Linked DNA regions of Sus scrofa. The protein of the gene in region 1 binds, or shares a complex with, the protein of each later gene. Links are inferred from orthologs where the notes say so. Each region holds a gene or a part of one and is shown on either strand. Other genes may lie near its edges. The genes, in order: EIF3G and EIF3E.

The links.
Region 2: EIF3G (region 1) and EIF3E share a complex: the UniProt entries of both Homo sapiens proteins name them as parts of the eukaryotic translation initiation factor 3 (eIF-3) complex. The link is inferred for Sus scrofa from reciprocal best matches to the Homo sapiens genes EIF3G and EIF3E.

Annotation. Positions count from the first base shown.
Region 1 is NC_010444.4:68,963,489-68,976,018, reverse strand, and holds EIF3G (eukaryotic translation initiation factor 3 subunit G), read left to right. Parts: upstream 1-5,370; 5' UTR 5,371-5,463; coding exon 5,464-5,483; intron 5,484-5,623; coding exon 5,624-5,670; intron 5,671-6,213; coding exon 6,214-6,297; intron 6,298-6,405; coding exon 6,406-6,494; intron 6,495-6,654; coding exon 6,655-6,714; intron 6,715-7,707; coding exon 7,708-7,812; intron 7,813-7,911; coding exon 7,912-8,101; intron 8,102-8,801; coding exon 8,802-8,909; intron 8,910-9,018; coding exon 9,019-9,155; intron 9,156-9,238; coding exon 9,239-9,345; intron 9,346-9,683; coding exon 9,684-9,699; 3' UTR 9,700-9,798; downstream 9,799-12,530. Other genes in the region: P2RY11 (P2Y purinoceptor 11), read right to left, coding at 10,101-11,206. UniProt on the Homo sapiens protein: RNA-binding component of the eukaryotic translation initiation factor 3 (eIF-3) complex, which is required for several steps in the initiation of protein synthesis.
Region 2 is NC_010446.5:29,337,986-29,349,439, forward strand, and holds the end of EIF3E (eukaryotic translation initiation factor 3 subunit E), read left to right. Parts: intron 1-3,185; coding exon 3,186-3,288; intron 3,289-3,578; coding exon 3,579-3,713; intron 3,714-5,427; coding exon 5,428-5,466; 3' UTR 5,467-5,608; downstream 5,609-11,454. UniProt on the Homo sapiens protein: Component of the eukaryotic translation initiation factor 3 (eIF-3) complex, which is required for several steps in the initiation of protein synthesis.

The DNA.
Region 1 (12,530 bases):
TGAGGTCCAGAGTTCCCTGTAGCTGCTGCTGAGTTTCCAGCAGGTGGTGCACCTTGCACATCCACACTTCCTTCCTCATGCCCTTTGCAGGATGCTCTCCTGGTTGCTGTGCTGTCCTATGGAGATTTTTCTTTTTTCTTTTCCTCCATTCCTGTGGCAATGTGGAAGTTCCCGGGCAAAGGATCGGAGCCCTGCCACAGCAGTGACAATGCCAGATCCTTAACCACTAGGCCACCAGGGAACTCCTCTTTGGAGATTCTGGAAGTGGAAAGAATGTCGGTGCCGTAAGGAAGGACCAAAAGAATGGTGATTTTTTTTTTTCCCCATCCAGCTTTGGACTCAGCCTTCTCCCCACTGCTCTATACTCCTTTGGCCCCCCTTGTACTTTTCCTTGGAAAATATCCGGGTTTTTTTTTTGTAAAAATAGTACATGCTTGATGTTTAAGAAAAAGTATGCCATACAGAAAGTTACTGAAAAGGAAGGGCAGGCAGACCTTGGAGATACTGCAGTTTCATTTCCAGACAATGGCAGGGAAGCACATATCAAAATAAGTACATAAATAATATGAATATTGCGAGTCACAAATTTTTGGTTTCCAGTGTATATAAAAGTAAACTGCAGGAGTTCCTGCTGTGGTACAGTGGATTAAAAATCTGACTGCAGCTGTGCCTAGGATTTGATCACTGGCCTGGGAACTTCCATAAGCTACAGATGGGTGTGGGGAAAAAAAATTGCTTCCTAGGGATCAGCAGGAGGCTTAACCTACTGAGTGAGGCCAGGGATCAAACCCCACATCCTCATGGATGCTAGTTAGCTTCTTAACCCACCTGACAAAAATTGGCTTACAAAAATTGCTTCCTAGGGAGTTCCCATTGTGGCTCAGCAGTAACCCAACTCGTATCCATGGGCACTCGGATTTGATCCTTGGCCTCACTCAGTGGGTTAAGGGTCCAGCATTGGGGTGAGCTGTGATGTAGGTCACAGAAGAGGCTCGGGTCCTGAATTGCTATGGCTGTGGTGTAGGCCGGCAGCTAAGCTCTGATTCAACCTCTAGCCTGGGAATGTCCATATGCCATGGGTGCCAGCCATTTAAAAAAAAAAAAAAAAGTTCCTATAGCATATGTCATTTTCTAGCTTGTTTACTCTCATCTTAGACATTTATTTATTTATTGTCTTTTTAGGGCCGCACCCATGGCATATGGACCTTCCCAGGCTAGGGATATAATTGGAGCAGCAGCTGCTGGCCTACACCACAGCCACAGCAATGCAGGAGTTTTAACCCACTGAGTGAGGCCAGGGATCAAACCGCGCATCCTTATAGATATTATTCGGGTTCTTAACCCACCAAGCCAAAATGGGAACTCCAAGATATATATTTTTTTAACATGTCCCACAAATGGATCTATTTCCTTAAAGACTGCATAGCACTTATATTGATGACAGAATAGCATAACTTGCTCTATTCAACCAACCTGGAATGGACAGATAGGCATTGCCAGTTTTTGCTATCATGAACAATACTGCCTGGATAGCTTATTCTCATATCTTTGTGTGTATTTACAAGTTTTTCTCACAGGCTGAATTATTAGCTGACTCAAAGGAAAATATATATGTGCATTTAAGTTTTAGTAGATATTGTCAACATTCCATCTAAGAGTTTACATAACCTCACATACTAAGAAAATATGGGAGAGTCTTTTTCTCTACATCTTTGCTACCATTGGGTAATAGCAATTTTTTACAGTTTTGCCCATCTGCTCCATTGTTTGGATTTTGTATTTCTTGGAGTAAACTTGAGTGAGGTTGCACAAATGTTTATTGGCCCTTTGTACAAACTTTGCATTTTTATCTGGGCTGCTAGACCACCCTCTTTCTTTTTTTTTTTTTTTTTTTTTTTTTTTTTGGTCTTTTTGCTATTTCTTGGGCCGCTCCCACGGCATATGGAGATTCCCAGGCTAGGGGTCCAATCGGAGTTGTAGCCACCGGCCTACACCAGAGCCACAGCAACACGGGATCCGAGCCGCGTCTGCAACCTACACCACAGCTCATGGCAACGCCGGATCGTTAAACCCACTGAGCAGGGGCAGGGATCGAACCCACAACCTCATGGTTCCTAGTCGGATTCATTAACCACTGCGCCACGACAGGAACTCCTTTTTTTTTCACCCTCTTTCTTTCACTCATTTTCCCAGCCTCCTTCCTGGTCTCCTACTTATTTATTCCTTTCCATTCTATTCTCTACATGCTTCCAGAATAATCTTTCTCATAAGAAAATCTGATTACATTGGTCACCACTCAAAATATGTCAGTGACCATACAGCCTGCAGGGTAAAGAGCCTATCCTCCTTAACCTGATTTAAAAATTCTTTTAGGAGTTCCCTGGTGGCCTAGTAGTTTAGGATCTGGCACTGTCACTGCTGTGGCTCTAGTCACTACTGTGGTATGAGCTCAATCCCTGGCCTGGGAACTTCCAAATGCCACAGATGAGGCCAAAAAAAAGTTATTTATAATCTGGTTCCTGTCCCATCCCAAATGTCCATTAATTGAACACATACTAAGTACAGACACCCCATGGGTGTTGGGGACCCAGAGATGACCCAAATAGGCAAATGTCTGCTTTCTGCAGCTGGCATTCGTGAGCAGTTTTTCTCAACTATTTTTTCATTATTGCTCCTTTCTAGGTGAGAAATGGAATTATCCTTAATTAATTAATTTTGTCTTTTTAGGGCCACACATGCAGCATATGGAGGTTCCCAGGGTAGGGGTGGAATTGGAGCTATAGCTGCTGGCCTATGCCACAGCAACATGGGATCTGAGATGGGTCTGCAACCTACACCACAGTTCATGGCAACATCAGGTCCTTAACCCATTGTGCAAGGCTACGGATCCAATCTGCATCCTCATGGATGGGAGTCAGTTTTGTTGTTTTTTAATTTATTTAATTTATTTATTTGTCCTTTGTCTTTTTAGAGCTGTACCTGTGGCATATGGAGGTTCCCAGGCTAAGGGTCTAATCAGAGCTACAGTTGCTGGCCTACGCCAGAGCCACAGCAACACCAGATCTGAGCTGTATCTGCAACCTGTACCACAGCTCACGGTAACACCGGATCCTTAACCCACTGAGCAAGGCCAGGGATTGAACCCACAACCTCATGGTTCCTAGTCGGATTTGTTTCCGCTGCACCATGATGGGAACTCCTGGATGGGAGTCAGTTTCGTTTCCACTGAGCCACAACTGAACTCCTATCCTTAATTTAAATCAATTTAATCTAATTACATTTAATTTTCCCCTAACAATAGAAATTAAATATTCATAAGTAATATTTTGTCCTGGAGGGTTGGCTTAGGAGGGCTATAAGCCATCACAATGTCTAAGGTTTTTTTTTAAGCCATCTAAGAATTTATTTTGGCTCTCTTGGGAGCCATATCACTCCCGTTGAGAATGCTCTAGGGGGACAGCTGGATTATAAACAAGTAAATGGAAAAGATTATATTAGAGAAGCCAAGAATGTTACTAAAGGAGGGAGGGATTTTCCCCAGTGGCTCAGTGGCTTAAGGATTTGGTGTTGTCACTGCTGTAACTCTGGTCACTGCTGTGGCACAGGTTCCATCCCTGGCCTGAGAACTGCCAAAAAAAGAAACAAACAAAAAAAGATGGAGTTCCCATAGTGGCTCAGCCATAAGGAACCCAACTAATATCCATGAGGATGTGGGTTCAATCCCTGGCCTAACTCACTGGGTTAAGGATTCAGTGTTGCTGTGAGCTGTGGTGTAGGTCGCAGATGAAGCTCAGATATGGCGTTGCTGTGGCTGTGGTGTAGGCCAGCAGCTGTAGCTCCGATGAGACCCCCTAGCCTAGGAACCTCCATATGCTGCAGGTGCAGCTCTAAAAGGAAAAAAAGGAAAGGAGGGAGAATGGTTGAAGGGGCCACTTGACTGCTTGATCATTTTGAATCAGGAAAGCTCTTCCATCGCTTCTCGGCCTTTTGGCTAAGATCAAGTGTAGGAAAGCTCTTCCCAAACAAGGAAGACTAGCTTTGGTTTCTTCAGCTGTAAAATGGAAATAATTTTCTCTCCACAGTTCTCGCAGAATTCAATAACTGAGCTTTATTGCTATTAATAACTTTTTTTTGTCTTTTTAGGGTCGCATCCACCACCATGCAACATACGGAGATTTTAGGGCCTAACCCACACCCGTGGCAAATGGAGTTTCCCAGGCTAGGGACTGAATCATGGCTGTAGCTGCTGGCCTACGCCACAGCCACAGTAACACAGGATCTGAGCCTCGTCTGTGACCTACACCACAGCTCAGAGCAACGCTGCATCCTTAACCCACTGATCAAGGCCAGGGATCAAACCTGCATCCTCATGGATTCTAGTCAGATTCATTTCCACTGAGCCATGATGGGAACTCCTGTTATTAATAACTTTAAATTTTTTAAAAGGTAAATGAATTAGAAAACTATATATAGAACTACCATATGACCCAGCAATCCAACTCTTGGGCACATATCCAGAGAAAACTGTCCTTGAAAAAGATACATGCGCCCATATGTTCATTGCAGCACTATTTGCAATAGCCAAGACTTGGAAACAACCTAGATGTCCATCGACAGATATGGATTAAGAAGATGTGGTATATATACACAATGGAATACTACTCGGCCATAAAAAAGAACAAAATAATGCCATTTGCAGCAACATGGATGGAACTAGAGACTCTCATACCAAGTGAAATAAGTCAGAAAGAGAAAGACACATACTCTACAATATCCCTTGTATCTGGAATCTAATATATGGCACAAATGAAAGTTTCCACAGAAAAGAAAATCATGGACATGGAGAACAGACTGGGGTTACCAAGGGGGAGGGGGAGGGAGTGGAATGTACTGGGAACTTGGAGTTAATAGATGCAATCTATTGCCTTTGGAATGGATAAGCAATGAGATTCTGCTGTACAGCACTGGGAACTATATCTAGTCACTTATGATGGAGCATGATAATGTGAGAAAAAAGAATGTATACATGTATGTGTGACTGGGTCACCTCGTTGTACAGTAGAAAATTGACATAACACTATAAACCAGCTATAATGGAAAAAATAAAAATCATTAATTAAAAAAAGAAGATAAATGAGTTCTTGCTGTGGTGTTGCTGGTTAAGGACCTGGACTTGCTACAGCTGTGACATTGGTCACAGCAGCGGCTGGGATTTGATACCTGACCGGGGAAACTTCCATACGCCACCCGCGGGGCCAAAAAAAAATGGTTAGAACTGCGCCTCTACTCAACTACCTAGTACCAGAGCCCAGCCTCTAATAAGCCAGCGCCTCTACCTCTGTCCACAGGGCGGCACTGTGGGCGCAGCGGCCGGGCTGCTCTAGGCGGCAGAACCGGAAGTCTCGTTCTCCCCACCTTCCGGTCTTTGGCCCAGGCTTGGGCTGCGTGGGGAAGGTTTTAGCTATGCCTACCGGAGACTTTGAGTGAGTATGAGGTCGTGGAGGGGGGCTTGGGAGGCAGATTGGGGGTCCTAGGGCGTATTATGGGGCTCGGGTGCCCCGAGGCCGTGGGATCCGGGCCTCGTCTCACCCAGCCTTCCCCCGCGGCAAACTTGTCCCCGCAGTTCGAAGCCCAGTTGGGCCGACCAGGTGGAGGAGGAGGGAGAGGACGGTGAGTTTGCCCTGTTGCCCAGGATCACCGCAGCCAGCCCCCAGCCCGTCACTGCCGCCTGCTCCAACCCCACCACCCCGACCCTGGCGCCGTTGTCTGACCCAGAATCTCCCTTCACGGCCAGCCCCTGCCCCGCGCCATCCTCATCAGGCCAGCCTGTATCTCCCATTACAGTTGTTCACCGGCCAGTCCCTCTTCCTCCCATGCCACCGTCAAAGTCCTTGGTACCAGCCTAGCTGCTCCCCTGCTCCGGGGAGGAAGTTGTCACAGCCTCTCTCCTGTCTTTGTACTAGCACGGGGATGCCTTTGGCCCGCCCCTGCCTTCATGCCTGGGATCCTCTATGCCGGGCATTGCTGGAAGTCACTACAGTCAGCTCCATGTCCCTGCACGACTCTCCCAGGACACTTCCTGGCTAGTCCCCTACCCTTGGTCCCACCTTTCTTAGCTCCCGGGAGGGGCATCATCCCAAAGGTCCCTCCATTTCAGCTTGGGAGCTCCCCCACCCCCCAGCTGACCCCAGCTCCCCACACTCCCTCTCACAGACAAATGTGTCACCAGCGAGCTCCTCAAGGGAATCCCTCTGGCCACCGGGGATACCAGCCCGGAGCCTGAACTACTACCGGGAGGTGAGTGACAACCTCCCCGCCATCCCTGGGTTGCCTCTTCCCCTGCAGAGTTCCTGCCTGGTCCCCAGTACCCAGGGCTCAGTTCCTCTGTCTCTCCCCCTCTCCCAGCTCCACTGCCACCTCCCAAGGAGGTCATCAATGGAAACATCAAGACAGTGACCGAGTACAAGATAGATGAGGACGGCAAGAAATTCAAGGTGAAGGTTGGGGGAGGAGGTAGATGCCCTTTGCTTGGGGGCTCTTGGACTAGGAGAAAGTGGTGTGTGCTGGGTGGGTTGATGAGGAAGATACCCTGGCCCAGGCCCTCGGAACCTTAAGGAGCAGGAAGCTCAAATTTCTCCCCTCTCCTACCCACAGATTGTCCGCACCTTCAGAATTGAGACTCGGAAGGCCTCAAAGGCTGTGGCAAGGAGGAAGGTAAGACCCTCCTCATCCTGTCTTGGGGCCTCCCCCAGGGCTGACTCAGAGAAAATAAGAATCCTTTTCCCCAGTGCCTGTATTTATTTGGCTATGCCCGGGGCATATGGAAGTTCCCGGTTTACGGGTTGAATCAGAGCTGCAGCTGCCAGCTTACACCACAGCTACAGCGACTCGTGATCGTAGCCACACCTGTGACCTAACCCACAGCTCAGGGCGATGCCGTGTCCTTAACCCACTGCGCAAGGCTGGGAATCGAAGCCATGGATACTGCTGAGCCATAATGGGAACTCCTTAACTGTACCAATTTTGTTGGAGCGGAACTGAGGCCTAAGGGTGTTTGCACTCTGTCGGGGTCCTGAAAAGCCCAGCATGTGCAGGAGTAGGGGGGGTTGTCCGCCAGCAGAAACAAAGCCAAGTCCTCCCCTGAGATGGTCGTAGCAGAAAAAGTCATGGCAGTAAATACATTTGGCACAATTACCTGTGCGCTTTCTCTGCGTTAGACCCAAGCTCTTTGCAGGAAGCGTTTTCCCATTCAGTTCCCCTGGAATTCCAGGGAGGTGGGGGTCCATTGGGGTCCCTTTTCCTGGAGGAGGCAGCTAGGGTTCAGATTGCTTAGCTAGCTCTGGGCCCCTGGAAGTCTGGGTGACCCCTACGCACCCTTGAGCATCACTCCCTGGTAGGAGCTGGTCCGCTACCTGCACCACCCCAGCAGGAGTTGTTGGCTGTGGAGGGGATTGTCCCTGAGCCTCAGTCCTCTAATCTGGAGCATGGAGCCTAGAGCTGCCCTTGCCTCTGGAACTGGTGTGAAGCTAGGGCCTGGCATGCGCTCAGGGAACAGGAACTGTCTTTGTCACTGCTCTGAGGGTCATTTGGGGGAGGCTGGAGAATGGGGTTCAAGGCCCTGGAGCAGACATTGTAAGTCTAGGGAGCCAGCAGAGGGGTCCTGCTTGGCCTTGCTCTGACTTGTCTCTCATCCCACCCTGAGCTCAGAACTGGAAGAAGTTTGGGAACTCAGAGTTCGACCCACCAGGGCCCAATGTGGCCACCACCACGGTCAGTGATGATGTGTCCATGACATTCATCACCAGCAAAGAGGTAAGTAGGCCAGGAGGCTGGGGCCAGTGGCCAGGGTGGTGGCGGCAGTGGCGGGGGGTGCGGCAGTCCCGTCTGAGCTGCCTCTGCCTGCCCTGCCAGGATCTGAACTGCCAGGAAGAGGAGGACCCAATGAACAAGCTCAAGGGCCAGAAGATCGTGTCCTGCCGAATCTGCAAGGGCGACCACTGGACCACCCGCTGCCCCTACAAGGACACACTGGGGCCCATGCAGAAGGAGCTGGCCGAGCAGCTGGGCCTGTCTACTGGCGAGAAGGAGAAGCTGCCTGGAGGTGCTGGGGCCTGGGGACTCGGGGGACAGGGATTGTGTTCACCTCCAGGAGAGTTGTAGGTTGTCACCTGCTGTCTGAACAGGGCCACCGCTGTTGGCAGTTGTCATCTCCCACACAACAGCAAGGCTGCAGCCACAGTCCATGCTTGTGTGTGTGTATGAGAGAGACTGGCGGTGGCTGCTGTGACTGCTGGCGATGTCCCCTGTCCTCTCCTCATTAGGGGCTGTGAGAGCGGCTCGTGTAGGCTTGCACATAATAAATACACTTTGCCTGCAGTGTCTGCATGCACACACCCAGGGCAGACTCACTCATGTGACTGTAAGTTTGAGTCTGGACAGCTCTACGCCCCTGACTTATGTGTGCGACTCATTTGTCACCTGCCGTGTGTGTGTTGGGGGACAGGGGGTGGAACCTGGGGACTGTCCCTATCCCGTGTACCTGTATTTGTGTTCCTATGTTGTGAGACTGGGTGTCACTGTGGGTTCTCACTTCTTGTGCTGCTGGCGGGTGTATAAATGACGTCGGCTTCCCGGATGTGACTTTTAAGTTGTGGCCCTCAGGCCTCGAAGGGCCCAACCGTGTGTGTGGTTTGACAGACGGCTCTTGGGCTGGATGGTGGCCAGAGCTGCCGGCATCCTGGGGCAGATGGGTCCCTCCATCTGTGCCGGGAGAGGCTTGACCCGACCTTGTTGTCCTCCAGAGCTGGAGCCTGTGCAGGCCACACAGAACAAGACGGGCAAGTACGTGCCTCCAAGCCTGCGGGACGGGGCCAGCCGCCGCGGGGAGTCCATGCAGCCCAACCGCAGAGGTGAGGGCACCCAGTTGCCGGGCCGGCGGGGGCGGGCACTTCCCTGTATCCTGTGATCATCCCACGGGCAGGCGCGGCCCCTCACAGACACCTCTCCTTGCCCACTCAGCCGATGACAATGCCACCATCCGTGTCACCAACCTGTCTGAGGACACTCGTGAGACCGACCTGCAGGAGCTCTTCCGGCCCTTTGGCTCCATCTCCCGCATCTACCTAGCCAAGGACAAGACCACTGGCCAGTCCAAGGTGGGCTGGTGGCCATGGGGATGGGGAGGGATCCTTGGTCCTGTCTGTGCCCCATGTGCCCCTGACTCCACCCCCTCCTCCAGGGCTTTGCCTTCATTAGCTTCCACCGCCGTGAGGATGCCGCCCGTGCTATTGCTGGGGTGTCTGGCTTCGGTTATGACCACCTCATCCTCAACGTCGAGTGGGCCAAGTAAGACCCCTGCCCCTCCCCCCACACAGCGTCACTGCTGACACTCAGGCTGGCTGCAGGCCCTGCACCAGGTTAACATTCACCATGCCTGTCCTGGGGCACAGATCATTTATTGTCCTTTTCCTCTGGTGTGGAGGGTTGGGGCAGGACCAGGCTGGTCACTGCCGGTCTGTCTCTTTGTGTGTCCTGGGCCACCACCTTGTCTCACTCTGCCCCACCCCCCATCCCTTTTGAGGTCCCTATTGTGTGTGGCGGTGGGGGGTCTTGGGATTCTCTTAGGGGTATGAAGCCTCTCCGCTAACCATTCTCAGCCACCTCACGTCTCTCTCTCTCTCTAGGCCGTCAACCAACTAAGCCAGCTGCTGCTGCTCCGTCCCCAGCCCTGGGATCCTTCAGTGACCGAAGGCTGGGGGCAGGGGTCTCCAAGGGTAATAAAAAATCTCCAGTTGCCCAGTGCTGTTCCATTTATTCACAGATGTCGCTCACACTGTTGGGGGGTGGGGCCATCCTGCCCTCCTTCCTCCCCCTCCCTGATGTGGGTTTATTTCCTGGCCCTGTCCAGAGTTGGTGCTGTGGCAGAAGTTCCTGCCACTCTGGCTTCAGTGCTCCCTGGTCCCACTCTAGACCTTTCTGTGGAGGAGTACGCTTAGGGCCTATTGAGGATTCAGGGCCAGGGGCCTGCTGTGCTCTCAGCCCCTATTCTTTTGCCAGGTCCCAGGATCTGGTGATGAGGAGGGGGCTAGAGATGGTCCAGGTCATGGGCTCAACTCAGGGGACTGGGGCCCTGAGGTTTTGGGAGTAGCTGTGACATTGAGTGGCAGGGATTGGCTGGAGCACTCGGCCTTCTCCGGGGTCTGGCCCTCCCTGCAGCCAAGGCAGTGTTGGCGGCAACAGCCCAGGCTGGGCACCACCGCCATGTAGAGCAGCGGGTGGATGCAGATGGCCAGGGGGATGAGGCCCCGTGTTACCTGGTAGGCCACATATGTCCTCCAGTCCAGTGCCTTCTCAGCCTGGGCTGTGCTTGTGAAGCCTGGGCAGAGGGCCCTCCAGCGCTGCCGGGCATACACGTTGAGCACCTGTGTGACATAGTAGGGCACATAGGAACTAGCATAGAGGGCCACACCACTGGCTACCAGCACTATCACGTGCAGCTTGTTGGCCGCTGTCATGCCGTGGCTACGCCGCACGGCCCGCCCCAGGGCGCCATAGGCTGCCAGGTTGAGCAGCAGCGGCAGGCCACAGCCCAGGGCCAGCAGCACCAGGCCATAGACTCTGTAGGCCTCAAGCTGGTTGTCATCTGCCGTTCCTAGGCACTTGATGCAGGCCTCCGGTGTGGCCACAGTGCACCTGCCTTCCTGCTTCGGCCTCTTCAAGTGGGAGAAGCTGAGTGTGGGTGCAGCCAGCAGGGCTGCCAGCACCCAGCCAGCAGTGCTGATGGCCCAGGCGTGCTTGGGCTGCAGTTGGCTGTGGGTGAAGAAGGGATGGACAATGCCCAGATAGCGGTTGAGGCTGATGCAGGTGATGAAGATGACGCTACCCAGCAGGTTGCAGGTGAAGAGGAAGCGCTCCAGGCGGCAGGTGACCTCCCCATAGCGCCAGTGTTTGGGTGGGTAGAAGTAGGCAGCCAGCGGGGGTAGTGTCAGGGCATAGAGCAGGTCGCTGATGGCCAGTTGGGCGGAGAAGATCACGGCTGGGTGCCATGGGCGCTGCTCCCGTGTGCAGAAGCGGTACAAGGCCAGACTGTTGCCAGCAAGGGCCACCAGGAACTCAGCTACCAGCATGGGCCACAGAAAGTCTTCCTGGAAGCCACTGAGGATGCGGTCAGCAGCCGCTGAGAAGTGGGCTGGACAGTCCTTATCACCTGTGGGCAGAGGGTGTTGCTGAGTGAGCCCTGTCCCTGAACCTGGCACCTGCTCCCTTCAGAGTTCCAAGTGCCTCTGGCACCACATACCTACCACAGACTGGGCCTGCATCAGCCCTATGCGAGCCCAGTTTCACTGAGTGCTTTTTCACACCTGGCAGTGGGCACCAGCCACAGCTCCTTTGTGTGGAGGAAATCGGAGGCCCGGATAGAGGCCTTTCATTCAGCTGATGGTTACCAGGTTCTCTTTGTGTCCCGCACCATCAAGAACCAGCTGGGGAGAGTTCCCATTGTGGCTCAGTGGGTTAAGAACCCGATTAGTGGCCATGAGGATGTGGGTTCGATCCCTAGCTTTGCTCAGTGGGTCAGAGATCCCATTAAGGAGTTCCCGTTGTGGCTCAGTGGAAACAAATTTGACTAGCATCCATGAGGATGCGGGTTCGATCCCTGGCCTCACTCAGTGTGGGTTGAGGATCTGGCGTTGTGATGAGCTGTGATATAGGTTGCAGACGCAGCTTGGATTCTGAGTTGCTGCGGCTGTGGTGTAGGCTGGCAGCTACAGTTCCAATTTGACCCCTAGCCTGAGGGGCTAAAAAGACAAAAAAAAAAAAAAAAAAAAATCAAATCCCGTTAAGATGCAGCTTGGATCCAGTGTTGCCGTGGCTGTGGTATAGGCTGGCAGTTGCACTTCCAATTTGATCCCTAGCCCAGAACTTCCATTTGCCATAGGTATGGCCATTAAAAAAAAAAGAAAAAAAAAAGCTGGGGTGAGAAACCATGGATACATGTAACCTGGTAGTGATGACTCAGAGCTCTCAGATGGAGCCCAGGGGAGTATCCCCTATCCCACCAACTACACAACTCTAAGTGCCATCTGTCAGTAAGTTTCCACCTTTGGAGTCTGTCACCCGCTTAGTGAGTGCCACGGAGTCCAGCTCCCACCATCTACCTGGACCAGCACAGTTGGCTCTGCCTGAGTCTCCCTGCTCCCGCCTTCACCCATCTTCTCTAACAGCCTCCAAAGGGCACCCATGGACACCTGAGTCCATCACATCCCTATGCTCCCAAGCTTCCCAGGCTCCCCCCTCACATGGAGGAGAAACCAGTGCTCACCTCATCTCATGAGGCACTGAAGGAGCTACTTCCTCCCACCCTACTTGCTCTCCTCTCCCTCTCCCCTGACTCAGTCCTTCCCACGCTTGCTCGCTTATGGAACAGCCTGCTTCAGGGCCATTGCCGTGGCTGAGTCACCAGCAACAGACTCGTTAAGGCTGCCCCACCTCACCCCTTCCTGGTCTCTGATCCTGGGAATGGCCATTGTTAG
Region 2 (11,454 bases), on another chromosome or scaffold:
TAGGAGACAGTAATGGAACCTGAACTAGGGTAATGACTAGGGTAGGAATCAGACAGTATTTATTAATTACTTCCTGTGTCCTGGGCATTGTGCTAATTCTGGATATATAGCCATGAACAAGGAAGCTATGGTGCGTGCTGTTGGGTTACATATACAGTCCATCATGAAAGCAGATATTTAACAAAACAACTACAGCTTTATGAATGCTCTGAAAAAATAGCAGGCTGTGAAAGCATCAGATGTGTCATGGTTGAGAGAGGTATCTTGGAAGACTGATGAGGGTGCTGTTTTATATGAGACCCATGTAACACATAGCTAAGTGAAGAGAAAGGTGGATGAACCTTTTAAGCAGAAGGCACAGCATGTGCCAAGGCCCTGAGGTGCTTCAAAACCTGGCATGTTTAGTGATTGTAGAGGTTCAGTCTGGCCAGAGGAGAGTCTTTCAAGAGGAGAGTAGCTTGGATCTCAGATCTAGTTAAAGAGATAATTATAGGACTTAATAGTTGGATATAGTTATCAAGAAGAGGAGTCTGATAACTTAGGCTTAAGACTAAGTATTTCATTATAATTTTAATTATGTAAACAACCTCCATAAGTAAGTTTTATGTTGTAATTTTTAAAAATCTTCATAAAACCAGCTATACACAGTAGCCACTAGGAATGTTTCTGTTTTTTAAAAGTATATAGAGATAGTGAAGGTTGAAGTTTTAATATATTTAGTACAAATTTTTTCATTTATCTTTTCAGAGTAAAATGGTCTTGGCCCCACTTTATTTTGTTAAAAAAATTTTTTAGTGGTAATAATTGTCACTTATCTGCTACTTGAAGGCACATCCTACAACTTGGAATGCTGTCCTCAAATCCTGAGAACTTACAGTGGCTGTATGCTTTAGACCTGCTCCTTGTCCAGTGGTGCCAACTTTGTTTTTTTCTTTTCCTTCTCCTTTCCCTTCTTATTTTAATTTCACCTCAGTCCTTTAGGCTTTTCCTAAAACCAAGGTTGCTGCAGTGGCTTAAATGTTGTTTCTTCCAATGTCTAGGACCGCTTTTGTCTTCCACACTGTTTTTCTTATGGTCTCTCAAGCCCACAGGGAAGCTCGGGATGGAGAATCATTCTAAGGGCTTTGCAGGTCCTAATGTAGGCTGTTGCTAGGGTTCAGGAAATCTGAGGAACATGCTTTTCTGGTTGAACAGCTCTGGCCAGGAGAATTCCACCTTCTGTCCACACTTTTTATCCCTCCACCACTTCTGCCTTATTGAAATTGTTCGGCAGTGTCATTCTGCAGCATCATATTTTCCCAGATCTTCTGGTGTTGAGGGAATTGGGGAGGATATGGGGGCTGCATCAAGCCCATGTTGGAAGGGTATGTGAGCAGAGATAATTATGGAGCAGGTTTCAGGCTCTTGAAAACCTGATGCCAGCTCCTTTGAGATCCTTTTCTCCCTTAAGAAGGTCATGCACTTCAGCATTAACATTTGTTTTAATGTTCTGAGATCAAAATTATCTTCCTGTTCTGCTGCTCTTGGAGGGTTAGCATCACAGAAGAGAAGGAAACATACACATCTCTAAAATAAGTCATGCACCAGCAGGAAACATAAGGAGTTTATTGAGGAGCCACAGGAAACACCAGCTGCAAGAATTTTTTACTAATCAAAAAAATTCCTGATTGTTTAAGTAAAATGACTTAATATTTCCCTACTTTTAGTTGTTAAAGTGAAGTGAGATTTGGTTAGAGAACAGTGATAAAGAAAATAAAGTGAAATCAGTTCAGAAATTGCATAGTCAGGGACTCATTTTTCTTTATGTTTGCTAAGACTGTGTACTTACAGCAAAATTGATCGTAAAAATCCAAAGAACAAAATTTGACATGTAAATCCAGGGAGTCTTATGGTTGAGTTGGCTCATACTCATCATCATGTTTTTAACTTCAGGCATATTTTAGAGATAAAATTGAAATGATTATGTCTTCATAGATTTAGTTTGTAATAATTTTATTGTTAGCATTAACTAATTTTTTACATTTTGAATGAAATTCTCCTACCTCTTTGTCAATAAATACATAAAATAAGGATGGCAAAGGTCTATATATATTATTCCCATAAAGGTATTTTTATTAACTTAATTGGTTATTTTTGTGTTGGTTGTTCTGGAATTACATAATTATATGATTGCAGTGTCTTGAATATTTATATTTTAAAATTGGGAATGCTATCAGATCAGGAAATTTTAGCTCGTAATATTCTAAGGAATTAATTTGTTATTGGTATTCTGGCTCTTTTCATTAAACTAGTATTAGCATTAGAAAGCCTGGCAAGTTTGTAAACCTAACGAAGACAAGCAAAAGGGGACAGTTAATGTTTCTGTTTAAACATTTGTATATGCATATACATATATATATTAGCTTCTTAAATACTATACATGCTTACATAGATACTCTTTAATTAGCTGACTGACTGACCTACTAGGCTTGTGCCTGTGTTAGTCCTGATAAGTTAAGCCCTGCAGCAGCCTCTTTTTCTGCCTGATCATAAATTAGAAAATGCAGATGACATCAAAGACATTAGTTCATAGATTTGGGTCTTGGTGTGTCTCATCTTTTTTCCTCCCCTTTCCTTTTCTTATGTTTTCTTTGTATGTTTGTCTGTCTCTTTTCCCTTAAATTCATTGGCCGTTAGGTTATATACTATACAATTCTAGGGAGTGTCTTCAAAATTTATAACACAAACATACATAGCGGCCCTGAGTTTTAGTTATGCTTTTCATTGTATTATAATTGTTACTGATGCTCCCTGTAATTGGTTTAATTTGTATACTCAAATATTTAATATTAAATATTAAACTGATACTCTACATCAGAAGATATTTTTCTTCTTTAGATCATTACTGGTTAAGCACCTGGTAAGTGTAAGATACTTTTCTGGAAGCTAAAAGAATTTCTGTAAATGCAGAATATGGGACACTTCCCTTAAAGATCTTACAATCTGATTGGTGAAATGAGATGGACTGTGAACAGTACAAGATAGTAATAGCACAAACATATGAACAGTAGTTTTAAAAGTCATAATATTTAAGATAAAGTGGCTCTTAAATACCTAAAAGTTTCTATACATAGTATAGGTCAAAGACTATGTATATAAAATAAAGCTTTTAGACTCAGTTAATGTCTTTTTTGTTTTTTAATTAGCATGTTGGCAGATAAACTGAATATGACTCCAGAAGAAGCTGAAAGGTGGATTGTAAATTTGATTAGAAACGCAAGACTGGATGCCAAGATTGATTCGAAATTAGTGAGTATTATGATAGCTTTGCTACATACTAGAGAGATTATTTTATATTTTGGAGGGGGGCTTTCATTAGGAAATCTATTCTTCTCTATTAAGAATTTATTCATGTATAGTAGTTCCTTGAAGGCAACAGCTACCTCCTGTTTTGTGTTATTAGATGAATATTGTCATCTCTCTACAGTTCAGAAAAATATGTGCAGCAGGCAGGTAGTGTTATGGTGTCATACTCATGACTTATGTGGGAAACTCAGTTGTTAACATTACAGGATCAATTTCCCTCTGTCTCATTTTAGGGTCATGTGGTTATGGGTAACAATGCAGTCTCACCCTATCAGCAAGTGATTGAAAAGACCAAAAGCCTTTCATTTAGAAGCCAGATGTTGGCCATGAATATTGAGAAGAAACTGAATCAAAATAGTAGGTCAGAGGTAAGAACCACACCTATTCTGTCTGGGATTTAGCAGTAATGTAACATAATTGTCAAAGGGGCTTCACTTGGAAACAAATTAATATTGGTTGTATCTGATTTTGTATTTGTTTATTGGGGGTATAAACTATTTTGTTTAAGAAATTACTAAACTGAAAAGACAAAAAAAAAAAAAAAAAAAAAAAGAGTTCCCGTCGTGGCGCAGTGGTTAACGAATCCGACTAGGAACCATGAGGTTGCAGGTTCGGTCCCTGCCCTTGCTCAGTGGGTTAAGGATCCTGCGTTGCCCTGAGCTGTGGTGTAGGTTGCAGACGTGGCTTGGATCCCGTGTTGCTGTGGCTCTGGCTTAGGCCAGTGGCTACAGCTCCGATTCAACCCCTAGCCTGGGAACCTCCATATGCTGCGGGAGCAGCCCAAAGAAATAGCAAAAAGACAAAAAAAAAAAAAAAAAAAGAAATTATAAACTGAAAAGAATTTCTCTTAGATATATTATGCATTAATCGAGGAAGGTAAAAAATGTGTTCGTAGTTTATTATATTTTTTTCCTTTACTTGTGTGCCTTCATTAACTCATTTCCTCGGTGTTTTCAGCACATTGTTTTGATACTGGCAAATGGTAATTTACATGTGTTGATCTCTTTCAAGTACTTGAAATTTGTGGTCCTTTTAAATCTAAAGAACTTCTTTGGAAGTGTTGACCTTATTATATCTGTTAACATTGATCTTATAGAATTTGATTTTTATCTGATATTCATATTTAACTGTCAGAAAAATATATCCCCCTTTTTGATAGAAATTTTGCATATTAGATATTAAAGGAATTTGAATGGCCTTGTTAAAAAGACAGAAGAATTAAGAAATTGTCCTTGCCTATTACAACCAAGTCTAGAATGATTGAACCTGAAAAATAACTTTTATACAATGGGTTTTTTTCCTACATGCTTATGGATCAGTCTATATTGATTTTCGTTATGGTATTGATGATACTGTCATTGTTATACTTTATAATTGGTCAAAAACTGTTCCAGGGTTTTTTTAAATTTATTTTATTGAAATATAGTTGATTTACAATCTTGTGTTAGTTTCTGATGTACAACAGAGTAATTCAGTTCTTTATGGATATACATGTGTATGTATGTGTATATGTACATACATACTCTTTTCCATATTCTTTTCCATTATGGTTTGTTACAGTATATTGAATATAGTCCCCTTTGCTATACAATAGGCCCTTATGTTTATTCTATATGTAATAATTTGCATCTGCTAATTCCAAACTCCTAATCTATTCCTCCCCACTCCTCTGCCCTTGGCAACCACAAGTCTGTTCTCTATGTCTGTGAGTCTCTTTTTGTTTCATAGATAAGTTCGTTTGTGTCATATTTTAGATTCCACACATAAGAGATATCATGTGGTATTTGTCTTTCTCTTTCTGACTTACTTGGTATGATAATCTTTAGGTCCACCCATGTTGCTTCACATAGCATTATTTCATTCTTTTTTATGGGTGAATAATATTCTGTTATATACCTAATCAGATGGTATTTTGATGTGTTTGTTTTGCTCTAAGTGAGACACCTCACATTTAGTAATTCCAGGATTTGTTAAAATCTTAAAGAATGTTGTAGAAGTAATGCTGAAAAAATGCTAGTGTCACTTTTTTCTAAGGTAGCTTTTCAGAAAATATTTTTCACTCTGTTTCTCTTTGTATTTTAGGCTCCTAACTGGGCAACTCAGGACTCTGGCTTTTATTGAAGATCTGTAAAGAAAAATGAAAAAAAACTGTAAAAGAAAGATGAAATAATAAAGCCATTATATAAAGGTGAAGCATTTTAGAAACAACATACTGATTATAAATTTTGGAGATTTTGAATAAAATTGGCTGTGTTTCATTTTATTTCCTTGTGTATGTAAGTGTTTGCTTTTTATTTTTAATTTTTTTAATTTTTTTGGTCCTGCATGCAGCAGTTTGATATGGATTAAACCCCAGCCACAGTGGTGAAAGTACAGAATCCTAACCACTAGCCCACTAGGGAACTCCTCAGTGTGTGCTTTTTTTACCTTTTCATTTTGGAATAATTATAGATTCACAGGAAGTTACAAAAATAGTACAGAGAGGTCCTATGCAACCTAAACCTAGTTCGTTTTTAATGTCAAAACTAGGATATTGACATTGGTACAGTGGTGTGAATAGCTCTGTGCCATTTGAGCATTTTTTTGTGTAACCATCACTGCAGTCAAGATATAGAGGTATCATCCTCATAAAGGTCTCCCTTATGCTACTACCCCTTTGGAGTCACATCCACTCCCTCCAGCTCTAACCTCTGGCAACCATCAGTCTGTTTTCTGTCTCAATAATTTTGTCATTATGTAGATGTTAATAGCAATGGAACCATACAACATGTAACTTCTTTGAGATTAGTTTTTTCTGCTCATGATACCCTTGAGATCTGTTCAAGTTAGATATATATGTATTCAAGTTATATATATATAAAACTATTCAAGTTATATATATATCAAGTTATATAACTATTCAAGTTGTATATGTATCAATAGTTTGTTCCTTTTTATTGCTAAGTTGTATTCCATGGTATTGATGTAACACATTGTTTAAATCCATGTACCTATTTTGGGAAATTTTGGTTGTTTGCAGATTGGAGCTAATAACAAATAAGCCTGCTGATAAAGTGCTGTTAGTTGAAGTGGCTTCTGCAGTCACTCTCTAGACAGCTACAGAGACTTAAATAGGATTATAAGTTGAATTTTAGAAATACCTCTCCTTGAATATCATACACACACACACACACACACACACACACACACACACACACACACACAGTTAACTGGCCACCTGTGATATTTAAGAAGTACATAAAGCCCTGGTTGGCTCTGCTTTACTTAGAAGTGATTTGATTTTCACTTCGATTGTTAAACTAAAACTCAGTCACATAAGAGAATTTTCTGTTTCTGCTCTCAAGGAATGGTACAAAGATAAAAAGATACTTGCATATTGTACCTGATCAGGCCACCCTCAATATACAGTTAAGTTTGAAGAAGGCAGGCCAGATTTGGGCTTTGTGCTGAGGTTTCAGACCTCTAGTCTGTAGTATTGGTTCTTCCAAACTATAACACAAAGATGCTGAAGCTAGGGGGGAGACTGCTGATCAAGGTATGCCAAATGCTAATTTTTGATTCATCTATAACTAGTGTTGTGAAAATGCCAAATCTAGAGGATGACTTGTATTACAAAATGATCAAGATTCATAGAGAAAATGTACCAAAATGTGGCATAGATAGAAACATACCCTTCTTTTTTTTTTTAAATAAGGAAAATTTCTTGAATTTCGTGTCATTCTTGCTCAGGGGCCATGCTAATCTTCTCTGTATCATTCCAATTTTAGTATATGTGCTGCCGAAGCAAGCATAAAACAGACGCTTCGCCTCATTGTAGGAGCTAATTCCCTGGGTCAAAAGTACAGATCTATAAGAAATGGAGCAATAGTTACATAAAACTGTATAAAATTGTATGTATTACTCAGGCTGTGTTAAAGTGGGAAGAATGTTAAAATGCCAATGTTTCTGTCTACCAATGACCCAAGGGCAAAATGTTCTTAAAGTCATCATTAATAGTCACTTTTTATCTTAAGACTTTTGCTCAACCAAGCCATGTTAATAGCAAAGATTTCTAGGTGATTATATCACCAGTAGTTAAAAGCAAGTCTGGCAGTTACTAGAAGTGTCTTAGAGGATGAGTAAAATCTGCAGGGAAAAAAGATAGGATGCTAATTCTAAGCATTTACTATGTGTCAGGCATTTTTACATCACTTTTTAATTTTTTTATTATTTTTATTTTTTCTTTTATAGTTGATTTACAATGTTCTGTCAATTTCTGCTGTACAGCAAGGTGACCCAGTCATGCATAGATATAGACATTCTTTTTCTCATATTATCCTCCATCATGTTCCATCACAAGTGACTAGATATAGTTCCCTGTGCCTTACAGCAGGATGTCATTGCTTATCCACTCCAAATACATCTATATATCTGAACAACCCTAAGGAAAAGAAAAGGAATGCAACATTTGAGTGCCACTGTAATTTTTGTGCTGATATTTGTATATTGATTAGGAAACACACAGGTGGTTACTCAGGGTCATACCTAGTAAATGTTAAAGCAAGGAATTGAAAACAGGCCTTTTCAGTTACACCATGTCTCCTTAGATCATTATTGCCTTATAAATCAATCCAGACTAAATTTACAAAGGGTTTAAAGAATATATGTTTAGTAGATTATAAATGAGGATCTTGATCCAGAAAACTATTCAAGTCCCTTGGCACCATTATCTTCAAATGAGAGGAAAGGGTGTTTTCATGTGTGTGTGTGTGTGTGTGTGTGTGTATAAAACTCCTGTGTAAAGATTTTAAACATACCTACTTAACCAAAATCTCCTTACTTAACCAAAATCTCCTCAGCTTAAGAAATTGAATGTTCGAAGTAACTCTGAAGAGCTCATGGGGCCCTCTCTGATTGTATTTTCCTTTGCCCCTGAGAAGTTAACCATTACCATTACCATGATTTTTATGGTATATGATATATATATATATATATATATATATATATGTATTTCCTTAAATTTCTTGGTAAGGAACACACACCATTAAGAAAAGTAAGGATATTAACACATTCCTATCAAAAATGTCTGGTTTTATGTATTTCAACATGTGTAGTTAATTGATAATACTTTGTATTCTGTGGCTTGCTTTGTCAATACTGAAATTTACCCATATTGATTTATTCTTGTTGGTATATTCAGCTCTAGTCTATTCGTTTTTAACTGCTTTCTAGTATCCCATTTTCTGAACGTACGTATTTCATTCAAGCATTGATAAACACAAGGTGTTTTCCAGCTTGTTATCTGGTGTTTTTGGAACCAGCCTGACGATCATGTGTTGCCTAACTGGAAGGTTAAATTCATTTCCTTTTATTGTGATTATGAATGTATATGGACTTATTTCTACATCTTATGAGCTTTCTGTATGTACCGCTTTGGCTCTTTTCCACCCTATTTTTTGCCTTCTGTTTTTTGGTTTTTTTTTTCTTTCTTCTACTAGTTGAGCAACTGAACGTTCTCTTTTTATAGTGGTCACCCTAGAAACTTTAGCCCTGTGTATTTTAGGGCATTCCAGTTATGATTGAGCGGTAACGAACCCAACTAGTATCCATAAGGACGCGGGGTTCAATCCCTGGCCTGGCTCAGTGGGGTAAGGATCCGGTGTAGCTGGCTTGGATCCTGTATGGCTGTGGCCGGCTGCTGTAACTCCAGTTCAACCCCCTAGCCTGGGAACTTCCATATGCTGCACGTGTGGCCCTAAAAAGCAAAACAAAAAAACATGTATTTTGGAACTTAATGCCTTAAAATTAGTATCTTTGGCCCCTGCCAACAATATGAAGAAAGCTTTTACTGTAGTTATCTTTCTCAGTTGTGTTCATCATCTTTCCTAATATAATCTTTTACTTTTATAAATTAGATATTATTTTAGACAATAATACCCTTTCTCTTGTTTATTCTCTTTGTAATTAGACTTTTTTTGTAAGTTGCTTTTAGGATCTCCTTTTCATTGGTGTACTATAGTTTTGCAGTGATGTGTCTCAGTGTGAATTTTATTTACTGGTAGTTACTCATTGGACCTCCTGATTCTGAAAATGCCTTTTGTCTTGTGTGAAAATTATCTCTTTGGATATTTTTTTCTTGATTCCTTAAGTTTTTGAGTTCTCACTCCAGAAAAACCTTCCCTTTCATATTTTTTATCTCTGTCATCTGTGCTGCATTGGGGTTTGGATAATTTCTTCAGCTCTGTCTTGTAACTCATTAATGATCTCTCCAACTGTGTCTAATTTGCTGTTAAATACATTCAGTTTCTTTTTTCAATGATTTTCTTCATCTTTGGTAGTGTCTTATACTTTCAATGCCCACTTGTATTCTTTAAATTTATTTCATATTTTGTGTTTTGAATCTACCTACTTCTCTGCCACTATTCTTGTCCAATATCCATCACTTAAATCAAAACAGTAGCTTCTGAATCACTTTCCCTGTAACTGATGTAGACCCCCCTTTCAGTCTCACCTGTTTTCTATATTTTAGAGTAACCATTTTCAATTTAAATCGGATTGTTTTCCGTCCCTGATTATAATTCTACAGTGGCTCCCCATTGTTCTTAGCCTAGAGACAGAATCCTTTACCTGGCCTTCATTATCTGCTTGCTGCATCAGCCCCATTATATCCCAGCCTCAAGCCCCACTGGCCTCTCAGTCCTTTAAAAAGTAGCTTCAAGCTATTTTGACTGCTGCAGACTAAGAAAAACATTTTACATCATGACCTAATACTATAAAGAGTAAATATATGATGCAAATATTTTATAAAACTGTATACCCTTTCAATATGTAATCTATCTTTTTCTATTCTTTTTTTTTTGTTTCATACATCTAGTTGGTATCAATTCATATTTGAAAAATACTCCCTAAAGAGCAGCAGTCTTTTTTATATCATTATGTGCCAGAAGCACACATGTACTTCAGTGTTTATTTTTCCTCCAGAACTCAACTCATATATCAAAGTACGTTTTCTTTTTCAAGGAAAGTTTCCATGAGTCTCAGACTAGGCTAGATTCTTCTCTTAGTCTCTTGTATTATTTATCCCACTTCTAGTTACACTAATTTCATAATTAGTTGGTTAATATCCACTCTAGACTGCCATTTTCATTTTTTTTTAATGGCTGTATCTATCTTGTTCATTGCTGAACGTAATGCCTGGCTTATATTAGGCCCTTGATAAATTAGTGAACAAATGAATGAATCTTTTTCAGAATGGTACAGTATAAAAAATTGTGCACTTGGAAGGAGAAAGTTTAATAAAAGAACCTGTTTCGAAATTAAGTCTTCCACAGCCCTTCTCCATAAGTTCATAGTTGATGTCTAAGACACAAACACAACAATATAATTTGTTAAGTATTAGTGTATGTGAAGACACTTAGACTTATGAAGTGTGTTATAGGATACTTTTTTTATGGTTAGGGCTAGTTGAAAACGTTAAAATCAACACAATGTACAATTTATGAAAGATTTCAAAACATTTTTTTCCCTTTGTCTTAGCTCTTTCTTGCTAATGGTAAAAGTAAAAATAGAGGCATATATATATTCTAATGATTTCGGATGTTTTCCATCCTCTGTACTTCCCAGTGGTAAGGAAAACAGTCGAACAGCATTAAACTATTGACTTCCAAAATTACAACATTGTGAACTCAGAATTCTATTTGTCAGACCTCTGTTGATACCCACATCTGGCCACTGTTTTGTTTTCCAGCTGTTGGATGTGTGGACAGGGAAGAGGTATGGGTATCCTCATTTATGCTCAAGCATCCTGCAGAAGTCATTTGGGAAGTAAACACTTTTGGGTCTAGTGCCACTGCTAACACATGAGCAGTTGAGACCCTAAATCAGATTTGCCTTGGCAGTAAAAGTCACTAGTAAAATACTGAGCAATAAAGATCATCAGTAAGAAGTAACCAAGGTCAGGGCCAAACTATCTGCTAGAGTGAAATGTTTAAAACATCCAATGAGTCTTTAATTAGATCCTTAGAAAATAGTCTGCTGTTAAATTGTTTTATGTGTTTTCCATGCATAATTTACTCCCATGCGTTCACTCAGAGATCAAGCCACTCCTCTGGAAAAGTGTTAACTTACTGG